Macaca mulatta: one gene and its partners. The protein of the gene in region 2 binds, or shares a complex with, the protein of the main gene of each other region. Links are inferred from orthologs where the notes say so. Each region holds a gene or a part of one and is shown on either strand. Other genes may lie near its edges.

Region 1 (3,930 bases), on a different chromosome or scaffold from region 2:
AGTGACTTTCCATTACTTTTAGATAAAATCTAATCTCTATACCTTAGCCTGTAAAATTTGTCTTTTGACTTCTTATTTCTCCAGTTTTATCTGTACCACTCTCTTCCTATCTTTCTGTGCCTAGGGAAGAACCCATTTCTGCCTTGGGACTTTGCATTTTCCCCTTTCCCCAATGATTAACTCCCTCTCCTCCTTCCTTAATCGAACATCATCTCAGAGAGGTCTTCCCTGAGCCCCCAATATAATCTAAGTTTCCCTGCTTTTCTATCTTATAGGATTTTGTACTTTCTCTTCATTGTGTGTGAGTGTGTGTGTGTGTGTGTGTGTGTGTTTTGGTTTGGTTTTTGAGATCATGCTCTGTCACCCAGGGTGGAGTGCAGTGGTACAATCTCAGCTCACTGCAACCTCTGCCCCCCGGGGGTCACACAATCCCCCTACCTCAGCCTCCAGGGTAGCTGGGACTACAGGAGCATGCCACGACGCCCAGCTAGTTTTTGTATTTTTTGTAGAGATGGGGTTTCACTATGTTGCCCAGGCTGTTCTTGAACTCCTGGACTCAAGCAATCCACCCGCCTCCACCTCCCAAAGTGCTGAAATTACAGCTGTGAGCCACTGCGGCCAGCCTTCTTCACAATTTCACCACAATCCGTAAATATATATTTATTCAGGTGATTATTTGTTCACTGTCTGTTTCCTAAGTCGTAAACTCCAGGAGGGCAGAGCCAAGGTCAATCTTGATATTTGCTCTCCCTCAGTCCCTCCCACCCACTGAGAACACTGTTGGGTAATCAGGAAGTGCTCAATAAATGCTGGATGAAATGAATGAACTAGTGCATTTAATGATGCAAACTACCCTGTTTATTAGGAGTAGCTTTGAATCGCTACTTAAAATCTGGGTAAGTACTATTAAAATTAGGACCTCAGGTAGGTGCCTCAGGTATCTCAGCCCATAGGTCCTTTTCTTCAAGCTTCACCTGCCACTCTCCTCCTGTAATGTGTAGTTTTCATCCAAATAACCTGTGCTCCTGGCAATATCCCTAACAATCCCAAACTAAATAAAGAGGATTGTGACACGGACCCTTAATGTGGCCACGTTTGCGTCTCCATCCCGGAATATGACGCTGGTAGCTCATTAGCTCCATTCAAGCCTACAAATTGCATCACCCTCCTCCTCCGCCCAGACCTGGGGGCTCCAACACCTTTCGCTAGGTCTGCCTCTGGCCTCCGAGCGAACCTTCCGTACAGCATGGCGGCTCCCGAACCCCCGCCAGGGAACAGAATGTTCCGTACAACATGGCTTTCTACGGAGTGCGATTCCCACCCACTTCCGCCCAGCTACCGGAAGTTTCCATTTGAAACCGAGGCGGCCAACTTGGCAGGCGGCGCGACAGTTGCTTCAGGGCATCTTTTGAAAGAGAGCGACAAGGACTGCGGGCAGGACCGGCGGGCTCCTGGGTTCGGCTCTCCCGGGGCGAGGGACTGGGCTGGATGGGAGGAAGGACGGAAAGAGCTGGGAAAGGAGGATTTTCTCTTTTCCAACCCCGAGCCGAGGCCTGTCGGGTCGCGCTATCCCCAAGCCCACCACTCTCGGGCCCAGTAGTCCAGCGCTGGGTAACATTCATCCTGTACCTTCCAGAGTTCAGCCGTGCCGCCTCGTTACGATGACCAGTGTGGTTAAGACAGTGTATAGCCTGCAGCCCGCCTCTGCGCTGAGCGGCGGCCAGCCCGCAGGTGAGTGCCCACGCCGCGCCCGGGGCACTGCGGCCCGGCCGGGGATGGTCCCGGGAGTGTGGAGATCCAATGGGTGGCGTGGGCACTGGGAGGGTGTCCCGCCGGCCCTGAAAACCTGCGAGCGCCCTATAACCAGGGTGTGTAGGTTTATGATGGGAGTTAGGGGAAGGGCCATGTGGTAGGATTTTAGACCTGCTCTGCATTTTTCTGCCCGCGTATGTACTGTATTCATCAGTTAGATTTAAGTTGTTGGTTATTGTACAATGTTATTCCCATTAAGCTAGGAATCCCCTTCTAACCGGTTATCCGTCTTATTTCCAGACTTGGGTCATCTTGAGGGATTGGGTTTGTTTTCAGGGAGGAAAGAGGAGAATCATTTGAGAAGTGGAATGCTTAGGGTTCTTTGTTCACCTTTACATCTGCGCCGTGTTTCTCGAGATAATTATTGAGAATTACCACATTCTCAATACACGTTTGTTGAGTGAAGTGGGAGAGAGGGGTTAGACCTAGGCAAAGTATTTGAGAAACTTGGGCGAAGAGACAGACATGATTAAAAATAGAGTTTTTAATTGCTTTGCCATCTGCTTTGTGTTGCTTTGCTTGTGGTTCAAAGTCATCTCATGGGGTTTGCAGTCGGGAAACTGCCTAATCTAGAGATTATAGTACAGAATAAGCTTCAGACATCAGAAAACTGTTGCGGGAGATTGTGGAGTAGCTATTTATGATCTCTTCCCAGATGATTCCACACAGCTGGTACATAAACCTTGGCAGGATTGAGCTCTGAAGTAAATAGGCTTTTCTTCAAAGGCTTAATGGGTTGTTTGTTGTCTTGTGTAGCCACAGAACACCTGAATGGTAATCCTGGCACCAGCGGGGACTAGGAGTTGCTGGAAGAACTGGAGCCAGGTCTCAGCTGCTTGCTGTGTCTTTCCCTTAGATGCAGTGCCCTCAGTCAGTGGGCAGTGACTAGCTCTCTCAGCCAAGCTGCGAGTGTTCATCTCTTGGGTTTACATCTCTGTCCCAGCTTTATGATCATATGTAACTGGAACAGTTTCAAATTTTTAGGCTGCCTCCCAGGTTTTTTGTTTTGATTTTGAGCATGGGCTGGATAAGTAATTTATGCACATGTAAAAAAAAAAGTTGGAAAACCATATACAATGATAAACAAGTTTCCTTCCCTTCCTTGACACCAGCCATCCAGTTCCCCTCCCAGTGTCTCCCATTTTTAGGAGACAGCTTTGTGAAATCCTACTAAGTTTTTCCTACATTGCAATCCTTAGGTTTTAGCAAATACGAATTATTGGAACCAATTCTAGTCAATGAAGAGTGTTAATTTTGATCAATCGACTGTTAATTCCATTTTACATGGAGTAGATTTGTTGTTTATAACTTGCTAATACTTGAGAGAGGAGATGATATTTCTCCAAGGTTACTTTTTACTTCAGACAGACACCTCAAAAAGAACCCTTTTAATACCTCATTTGTACCGCATTTCTTCAATTTGATTTGATTGTAATGGCTCTTAAGTTAGGTCAAGCTTAAAGGGGCCATTTTACAGTGAACAAAGTGAGAATGAGTCCAGAAAAGCCTGCGTGTGAGGGTGGGGGTGCTTTTAACTCCAGATAAGTTACTTGAATTTGCTGTAGAACATGAATGATGGACTGTGTGGTTGGGGAGCTGGCACAAGGATGAAGGAAAATTCTCACCTTTGGGGAAGAAGAGTGTTATGGCAGGGCCATTTCTCTGGTTATCTAGCAAGAAGATCAGATTAGAATGCCTAATAGCGAAACTCTAAACTTAACGAAGGGTAAACGAAAGAGCTGGTGGTAGAGGCAGTCAGCATGGAAGAGGAAGGGACCAGACAGGTGGTTTAGAGATGGTCTGTGAAACAACCTATGCAACTGTGAAGTGTTTGATTTATTCAACAAGCAGTTATTGAACCCCTGTTCATATGCCAAATATTCTTCTAGGTGATGGGGACACAAAGATGTCTTAGAGTGGTTAGGAAGATATTCTGGGAAAAAGAACGAAGTAACAATTTAAAAAAACTCAGAGCAGCTCAGTCATGCCTTAGGAGAGTGTGCAGCGTGCTTGGAGTTGCTTAACGAGATGGTACAAGGATTCAGCCGTGTTTTACTTCCACCCTGCTCTCTGCTGGTGTCCATCTCCATGTTCACTTTTACAGCCTCCACCTTTCAG
Region 2 (3,500 bases):
ATATTTAAAAATAACTAAAATAGGCCAGGCGTGGTGGCTCATGCCTGTAATCCCAGCATTTTGGGAGGCAGAGGCGGGTGGATAATTTGAGGTCAGGAGTTCGAGACCAGCCTGACCAACATGGAGAAACCCCATCTCTACTAAAAATACAAAATTAGCTGGGTGTGGTGGCACATGCCTGTACTCCCAGCTACTCAGGAGGCTGAGGCAGGAGAATCACTTGAACCTGGTAGGTGGAGGTTGCAGTGAGCCGAGATCGCACCACTGCACTCCAGCCTGGGCAACAACGGCAAAACTCTGTCTCAAAAAAAAAAAAAAAAACAGGCTGGGCGCAGTTGCTCATGCCTGTAATCCCAGCACTTTGGGAGGCTGAGGCAGGTGGATCACAAGGTCAGGAAATCGAGACCAGCCTGGCCAACACAGTGAAAACCTGTCTCTACTAAAAATACAAAAATTAGCTGGGTGTGGTGGCATGCCCCTGTATTCCCAGCTACTCAGGAGGCTGAGGCAGGAGAATCGCTTGAACCCAGGAGGAGGAGGCTGCAGTGAGCCGAGACCACACCATTGCACTCCAGCCTGGGTGACAGAGTGAGACTCCGTCTCAAAAAAAAAAAAAAAAACAAAAAAAACAACTAAGAGTATAATTGGATTGCTTGTAACACAAAGGATAAATGCTTGAAGGGACAGATACAGATACCGCATTTTCCATGATGTGATTATTGCCCATCACATGCCTGTATCAAAACATCTCATGGACCCCATGAATATATTTACCTACTCTGTAACCACAAAAAATAAAAATTATTTTAAAAAATGTTTTAGGCTTATTCACAATTTTCCTTAAAATATTAAATATAGTCTACCAATGCAAAAAATGAAGAAAAAGAATACATGTGGAAGATGATGTTCTAAAAACCAATTCCTTTAAAACTTTCCTTGCTTGCACTACTTTGGAAAGTTTTGATGTACCCCAGGAGTATAGTGACTACCCATAGCTTTAAGGGGATTTTTCAGATCCTCAGCTTTTTTGTTTAAGAGACAGGGTCTCACTGTCTTGCCCAGGCTGAAGGGCAGTGGCATGATCATAGCTCACTGCAGCCTTAACTTCCTGGGCTCAAATGATCCTCCTGCCTCAGCCTCCTGAGTAGTGAGGCATGCAAAACCATATCCAGCTGATTTTTAAAAAATATTTTGTAGGGATGGGATCTTGCTATGTTGCCCAAGCTGGTTTCAAATGCCTGGCCTCAAGCAGTCCTCCCACCTTGGCCTCCCAAAGCAGTGGGATTATAGGCATCAGCCACCGTGCCTGCCCAGATTCTCAGCTTTTACAAATGTTCTAAGTATAAGCTTGTGATAGGAGTCCCCTTTGCCCTCTGGCAGCTTCTCAGCTTAAATTCCAAGGAAGAGAGCCCACTGGGATCCTTCAAGCTTTGAAAGGAATCTTCTTACCCCACTGTGAGATGTGTCAGTCTGTGTGCTACTGTCCTGGGTTTCTGGGTGAGGGACAGCCAGCTGGCTCTTCCAGTCCCGAAGCTGGCGGGAGAGAACCTCCAGAATGACAAGAGAGCTCAGCAGGTTATCTTCCAAGTCATGTCGAGACAAGGCAGTCAGATCTGGAGGCCGGCTGCAGCAGAAACAGAAGAACATGACAAAAAGAAAGGGAGGGGAAGGGATGGGAGGGGAAGGTCCAGGATAATGGAACTCACGAGGCGCAAGAACATAGGGGCACTTACCCACACAGGAGCCGCTCTGTCTCAGAAGTACTGTCCTTGGTGCCAACCAGGCCTGCCTGGGATGTGTTTGTACTCTTTTCCTGTGGTGCTGAGGGAGTAAACCAAGTCCCCACCGAGCAAGTAGAGAAAGGGGTAGTGCCAATTGCAGCATCCCGAAGCATCGAGGGAATGGATAAGCTTTGGCGGAGATTTTCCAGCATGACGGAGGTATTTACACCTTTTTCCAGCCAGGCCAGTGGGGACATCCAAGACTCTGTATCAGAGCCAAGAATCCTACCAACATCTTCTACTGCTGGGCCTGGAGCTGCTTGGGATTCCATTTCTACTAGATTTGGTGTCAGGCATGTGGACAGAATATCTTCCACATTTGAGACAAGTGCTTGATCTTCTGATTCAGACTCCTTAGGGTGTGTAGGAAAGCTCATTTCTCTTTCCTCCATAGCTCCATGCTCTACAATTTCCTCCTCTGGGTCCACATGATTGACAGAGAAATCTGCTGCCAAGGCAGTTGAAGGGGAAAGCCAGAGAAAAGAGGAAGGCAAGAAGGCGTTACTTTCAGAAGGTACTACTAAGTCCTCAGGCACAGCCTCAGTCCTACTGTCCCTCAGGCTTTCCTTGGAGCAATTTAGTTGTTCAGAAGAGGGATTTGGTGGAGACTCTAAGAGATGGGACGGAGATTCCTGAAAGATAACTTTCTCAGATACAGCAGCAACAACTTCTGAAAACCTGTCTTCCATGCAGGGTGCCACCTCCTCTCTCACCAGATCTCCTGTTCTCAAAGGTTCATTTAAAGATATGCTGTTTGTCTCTGCCATGGTATCTAAATGGGCCTCAAATGTCATGTCTTGCTGCTGCCCCAGTGGAGATGGTATAAGGACGATGGTTTTAACCACATAGTTGTCCAGTGGGTCTACTGCTTCCTCAGACGTTTTAGGAGTAGAGCTAGTTTGGGGAACTGGATCTAGAGGCTGCTCATCTGATTCATGCTGACAGGCTTCCAGCCACTTTGAGGAATGACTGAAATGTTCTGAAGGGAAGTCTGTCCTCTTGGCATTTACAAAATCCACTGGAGATGAGTTGTTGCTGCCTTCCTGCCAAAGGAAACAAAAGTAGTTGTCTAAGGCGGTCAATTCGGTTCCCAACATACAATTACGAGTGCAAGATAGTGTCTAAACTCAAAAAAGAAAAGAATTCTTACTACCTCTGCTTAGGTAAGAACTTGGCTAATCTTGGTTGCTCATATAGAGACCCAATAGTAGGGAAAGAAAAGCTGCTAAGCCATTTTGGGTCCTTCCAAGTGAACCAGCCTACATTATAAACAGGCTGACAGCCGGGCGTGGTGGCTCACGCCTATAATCCTAGCACTTTGGGAGGCCGAGGCGGGTGGATCACCTGAGGTTAGGAGTTCGAGACCAGCCTGGCCAACATGGTGAAACCTTGTCTCTACTAAAAATACAAGAATTAGCCAGGTGTGGTGGCGGGCACCTGTAATCCCAGCTACTCAGGAGGCTGAGGCAGAAGAATCGCTTGAACCCGGGAGGTAGAGGTTGCAGTGAGCCAAGATCGTGCCATTGCACTCCAGCCTGGGCAGCAAGAGCGAAACTCCGTCTCAAAAAAAAAAAAACGGCTGAGAATATAGATCCGTATCATGGGCAGATGGCAACTTGAACATGACCCCACTCCTTTCCATTCCGAAATCTTAACGCACTTGTAGATGAACAGTAGGAGGGGTCCATAGGGTGTGAGTGAAGGCTCAAGCTGTCAGAA
Region 3 (3,963 bases), on a different chromosome or scaffold from region 2:
CGTCTCAAAAAAAAAAAAAAAAAAAAGAACAAAGGGGTGTAAATGGGAACTGTGGCAAACTGAAAGCATGTAGGCACAGAGTTAAGTAGCTAGAGCTGATTTTTTTCAGGAAAGGCCACAAATCCAAATTTTTATGACCTCCTCTTTTAAATGCTGTAAATGTTTTACAATGGCCGGGCATGGCTGCTTATGCCTGTAATCCCAGCACTTTGGGAGGCCGAGGTGGGCAGATCACTTGAGGTCAGGAGTTCAAGACCCGCCTGGCCAACATGGTGAAACCTCTTCTCTACTAAAATTACAAAAATTAGCCGGGCATGGTGGTGCACGCTTGTAATTCCAGCTACTTGAGAGGCTGAGGCGGGAGGACTGCTTGAACGCAGGAAGCAGAGGTTGCAGTGTCAGAGCAAGACTCCGACACACACACACGGTGGTGCACGCTTGTAATTCCAGCTACTTGAGAGGCTGAGGCGGGAGGACTGCTTGAACGCAGGAAGCAGAGGTTGCAGTGTCAGAGCAAGACTCCGACACACACACACACACACACACACACACACACACACGTGGGAGGCCAAACAAAACACACACACACACACACACACACGTGGGAGGCCAAACAAAACCCTGCAAGACACATTTGGCTATGACCTGCCAGTTTGCTAGGCATTCTTCCAACCTTCCGTCCCTCTGACCAAGAAACTGAGTGTCCACTATTTTAGGCCCTGGGAAATTCAGTAGCGAGCAGGCCAGACAGCTTCCTTGCATCATGGAGGACTCTGGTACTGTGCTTCTCCAACTTCAGGATGTGTAGGAATCACCTGAGCAGTCTTGTTGAGAGGCGGACACTGACTCGGGAGGTCTGGAGTAGGGCCTGAATGTTTGCCTTTGCGGTTCTAACAAGCTCTCAGGTGATGGCGATGCTGCTGTTCCATGGCCCCTTCTTTAAGCAGCGTTGCTTTGTAATCCGGAGGAGCTCAGAAGCGGCAGTTATTTGAAGGAGCAGACTAGCCATGAAGGTATGTTTGGCAAGCACACTTTTACTTAGATTTTAGTTCAGTTCGGGTGGCTTGGCTGAGAGCTGACGGCATCGGGAGGCGGATGCTAAGGCTTTCTTAAACGACCTGCTGGCATGCCAGTTCCCTACTCTTAGATTGCTTATATTCTAGGTGGGGTGGAGGTGGAGGAAGATTTAAGGAAAAGCTTCCTGGAGGAGGCGCAAGCGAACTGCAGGAGCTTTCCCGGACGCCCGAGAAAGGGAGAAACCCCGAAGGAATTCCTCCCCTCTCGGGGCTGGGTCTCCGCATCCACGCCGGATTTGGTTTCCCAGGCTATCCCACGTGTTCGGGCGTCCCTGTCAATCAAGTTTTTCCCCGGCTGGGTCCGGGTTTAAAGGCAGCTGCTGCGCAGGGCGCTCCCATGGTGCCGCGCGGCGGGCGGGTTTGGATTTTAAATCCCCGCGGCCAATCAGTGGCGCGCAGGCTTTTGTAACGTTCCCAGCGCCGCGTTTGAATTCGGGGAGGAGCTGAGCGGTGCGGAGCGTCTGCTCGGATCCAGGTCAGCAGAGCAGCTCCAGGAGCATGAGTGCGGCGGTGACTGCAGGGAAGCTGGCACGGGCACCGGCCGACCCTGGGAAAGCCGGGGTCCCCGGAGTTGCAGCTCCTGGAGCTCCGGCGGCGGCTCCACCGGCGAAAGAGATCCCGGAGGTCCTAGTGGACCCACGCAGCCGGCGGCGCTATGTGCGGGGCCGCTTTTTGGGCAAGGGTGGCTTTGCCAAGTGCTTCGAGATCTCGGACGCGGACACCAAGGAGGTGTTCGCGGGCAAGATTGTGCCTAAGTCTCTGCTGCTTAAGCCGCACCAGAGGGAGAAGATGTCCATGGAAATATCCATTCACCGCAGCCTCGCCCACCAGCACGTCGTAGGATTCCACGGCTTTTTCGAGGACAACGACTTCGTGTTCGTGGTGTTGGAGCTCTGCCGCCGGAGGGTGAGTGTCGCTGCTGGTTAACTGGAACTGCCTGCGGGGCAGTTGGAGCGCCCAGACCTGGAGCTGCTGGAAAGAGTGCCCAGGAAGGGAGTACCTGGGACTTGGAGCTGCTAGAGAAGGGTGCTGGGAGCCTCCCTCTTAGGTATGGAAAGTGCCTTTGGTAAGGGCTTCTTGGCTCTTGGAGCTGCTGGAGGACGGGGTTCCGGTGAAGTGGAGTCTGAGTCATGTTGCTGATAGGGAGGTCAGCTTCTGGACGCGAGGTACTTGGGGGGAGGGGTGCTGGTAATGGACGCTAGGGCCCTGGAGTGGCCAGGGAGGAGTCCCGGGTTAGTGATGCCGGGCACTGGGAGCTTCCGGAGTGTAGCTGGGTCAGTGAGGGGGTAGTTGGAGCTAGACTTCGGGCCTTCCGAGGGAGATAAGAGTCAGGAAAGGGATCTGCTGCTGGGGACTTCCGGAGTGGGGCTGAGAGAGGACCCCCAGGTAAGGGAGAAAGCTAGTAGGAGAAGGGGTGCTGTGAATGGTTGTGGACAGTGTTAAGGCAGGGTCCAGATGCCAGTTGTCCTGGAAAAGGAATGGGGTGGGGGCATAGGGAAGGAGAGAAACCCACCAAGACCCCTCTTTCATCCTTTGGGAGTCCAGAGTCCAGTCCTGTGCTTCCTTTGCCTGGTAACCCTCTCCCTTCCCCACCGGCCTCAATACCACCTCCCCATCCCTCCTGCCCTCTCCTTCCCATCCACAGTCTCTCCTGGAGCTGCACAAGAGGAGGAAAGCCCTGACTGAGCCTGAGGCCCGATACTACCTAAGGCAAATTGTGCTTGGCTGTCAGTACCTGCACCGAAACCGAGTTATTCACCGAGACCTCAAGCTGGGCAACCTTTTCCTGAATGAAGATCTGGAGGTGAAAATAGGTGAGTTGCTGAGCCTGCAGGGGTGCTTGACATCACTCCAAGAGGCTGGAATTTGGAGGAGGCTGGGAGAAAGGAAGGAGACCAGGAGGAAGGAAGAGGATGGTGGGAAGTTTGGGCTGTTGATTGCCTCTAGAATTCTCTCTTTAGTCCAGAAATTTCAAACAAAGAACCCACAAGTCAGTATCTTGCCTACAGATGCATTATTTTTTGTGCCCCAATACAGCATTTTTCTTTTTTTACAAAGAATTTGAATTTGTTTTTATTTTTTAAATTGGAAGGTTTGACATAAAAATTTTGATTTAGAGCTCCTTTTAAACAGTCATGAAAGCTCCAGTAATACGAGGACAGCATTTTCTTAGGGCAGTCCTTTGCTGGGCTGGAAAGCAGCTGTCCCCTTCAGACTTGTTTGCCACAGTCTCTACTCCTCCCTATTACTTCTTCACAGACTTGCCAAGTCTTGGAGGTTAACTTGCTTGATCCTTGAAGGCACTGGAGTTTTGCTATCCCTGCCAGTTCCCGTTTCGAAGTATAGCCCCTTTCTAAGGGGAGGGGTGAGAAGGGTCACTGGAGGCACCTCCCTGGTGTCAGCATGGCGGGAAGATTCCTGGGCAAGCCTTGCTGCGTACAAGGAGCAGAAGCTTGTGGGATCAAATGGCCCTGGTTCTTGATGGTCAAACCTTAACTAGCCTTCTGCATTGACAGATGGCAGAGGCTGGCATCTAAGTACCCGCTCTTCCTCCCTCTGTCCCAGGGGATTTTGGACTGGCAACCAAAGTCGAATATGACGGGGAGAGGAAGAAGACCCTGTGCGGGACTCCTAATTACATAGCTCCTGAGGTGCTGAGCAAGAAAGGGCACAGTTTCGAGGTGGATGTGTGGTCTATTGGGTGTATCATGTAAGTTGGGAGTTATCTCTGGATCTACCTGGTCTCAGCAGGGGCAACTTTGGGACATCCTACCTGGCTGACCTTTTCTGTGGACCTTTCGGCCTGCTTTACAGCAAACCTACTGCAGGGGACAGGTTACCCCCAAACAAAGCCTAACTGCCATATCTTTCCCTGTCACTGGTGTAT

The links. Proteins that work in one complex are often made in the same cells at the same time.
Region 1: SPAG5 (region 2) and KNSTRN share a complex: the UniProt entries of both Homo sapiens proteins name them as parts of the astrin (SPAG5)-kinastrin (SKAP) complex. The link is inferred for Macaca mulatta from reciprocal best matches to the Homo sapiens genes SPAG5 and KNSTRN.
Region 3: SPAG5 (region 2) and PLK1 share a complex: the UniProt entries of both Homo sapiens proteins name them as parts of the astrin (SPAG5)-kinastrin (SKAP) complex. The link is inferred for Macaca mulatta from reciprocal best matches to the Homo sapiens genes SPAG5 and PLK1.

Annotation. Positions count from the first base shown.
Region 1 is NC_133412.1:17,693,586-17,697,515, forward strand, and holds the start of KNSTRN (small kinetochore-associated protein), read left to right. Parts: upstream 1-1,130; 5' UTR 1,131-1,246; coding exon 1,247-1,455; intron 1,456-1,636; coding exon 1,637-1,731; intron 1,732-3,930. UniProt on the Homo sapiens protein: Essential component of the mitotic spindle required for faithful chromosome segregation and progression into anaphase.
Region 2 is NC_133421.1:37,292,977-37,296,476, forward strand, and holds part of SPAG5 (sperm-associated antigen 5), read right to left. Parts: intron 2,825-3,500; coding exon 1,734-2,824; intron 1,625-1,733; coding exon 1,450-1,624; intron 1-1,449. UniProt on the Homo sapiens protein: Essential component of the mitotic spindle required for normal chromosome segregation and progression into anaphase. Required for chromosome alignment, normal timing of sister chromatid segregation, and maintenance of spindle pole architecture.
Region 3 is NC_133425.1:23,221,122-23,225,084, forward strand, and holds the start of PLK1 (serine/threonine-protein kinase PLK1), read left to right. Parts: upstream 1-1,163; 5' UTR 1,164-1,574; coding exon 1,575-1,982; intron 1,983-2,721; coding exon 2,722-2,890; intron 2,891-3,641; coding exon 3,642-3,786; intron 3,787-3,963. UniProt on the Homo sapiens protein: Serine/threonine-protein kinase that performs several important functions throughout M phase of the cell cycle, including the regulation of centrosome maturation and spindle assembly, the removal of cohesins from chromosome arms, the inactivation of anaphase-promoting complex/cyclosome (APC/C) inhibitors, and the regulation of mitotic exit and cytokinesis.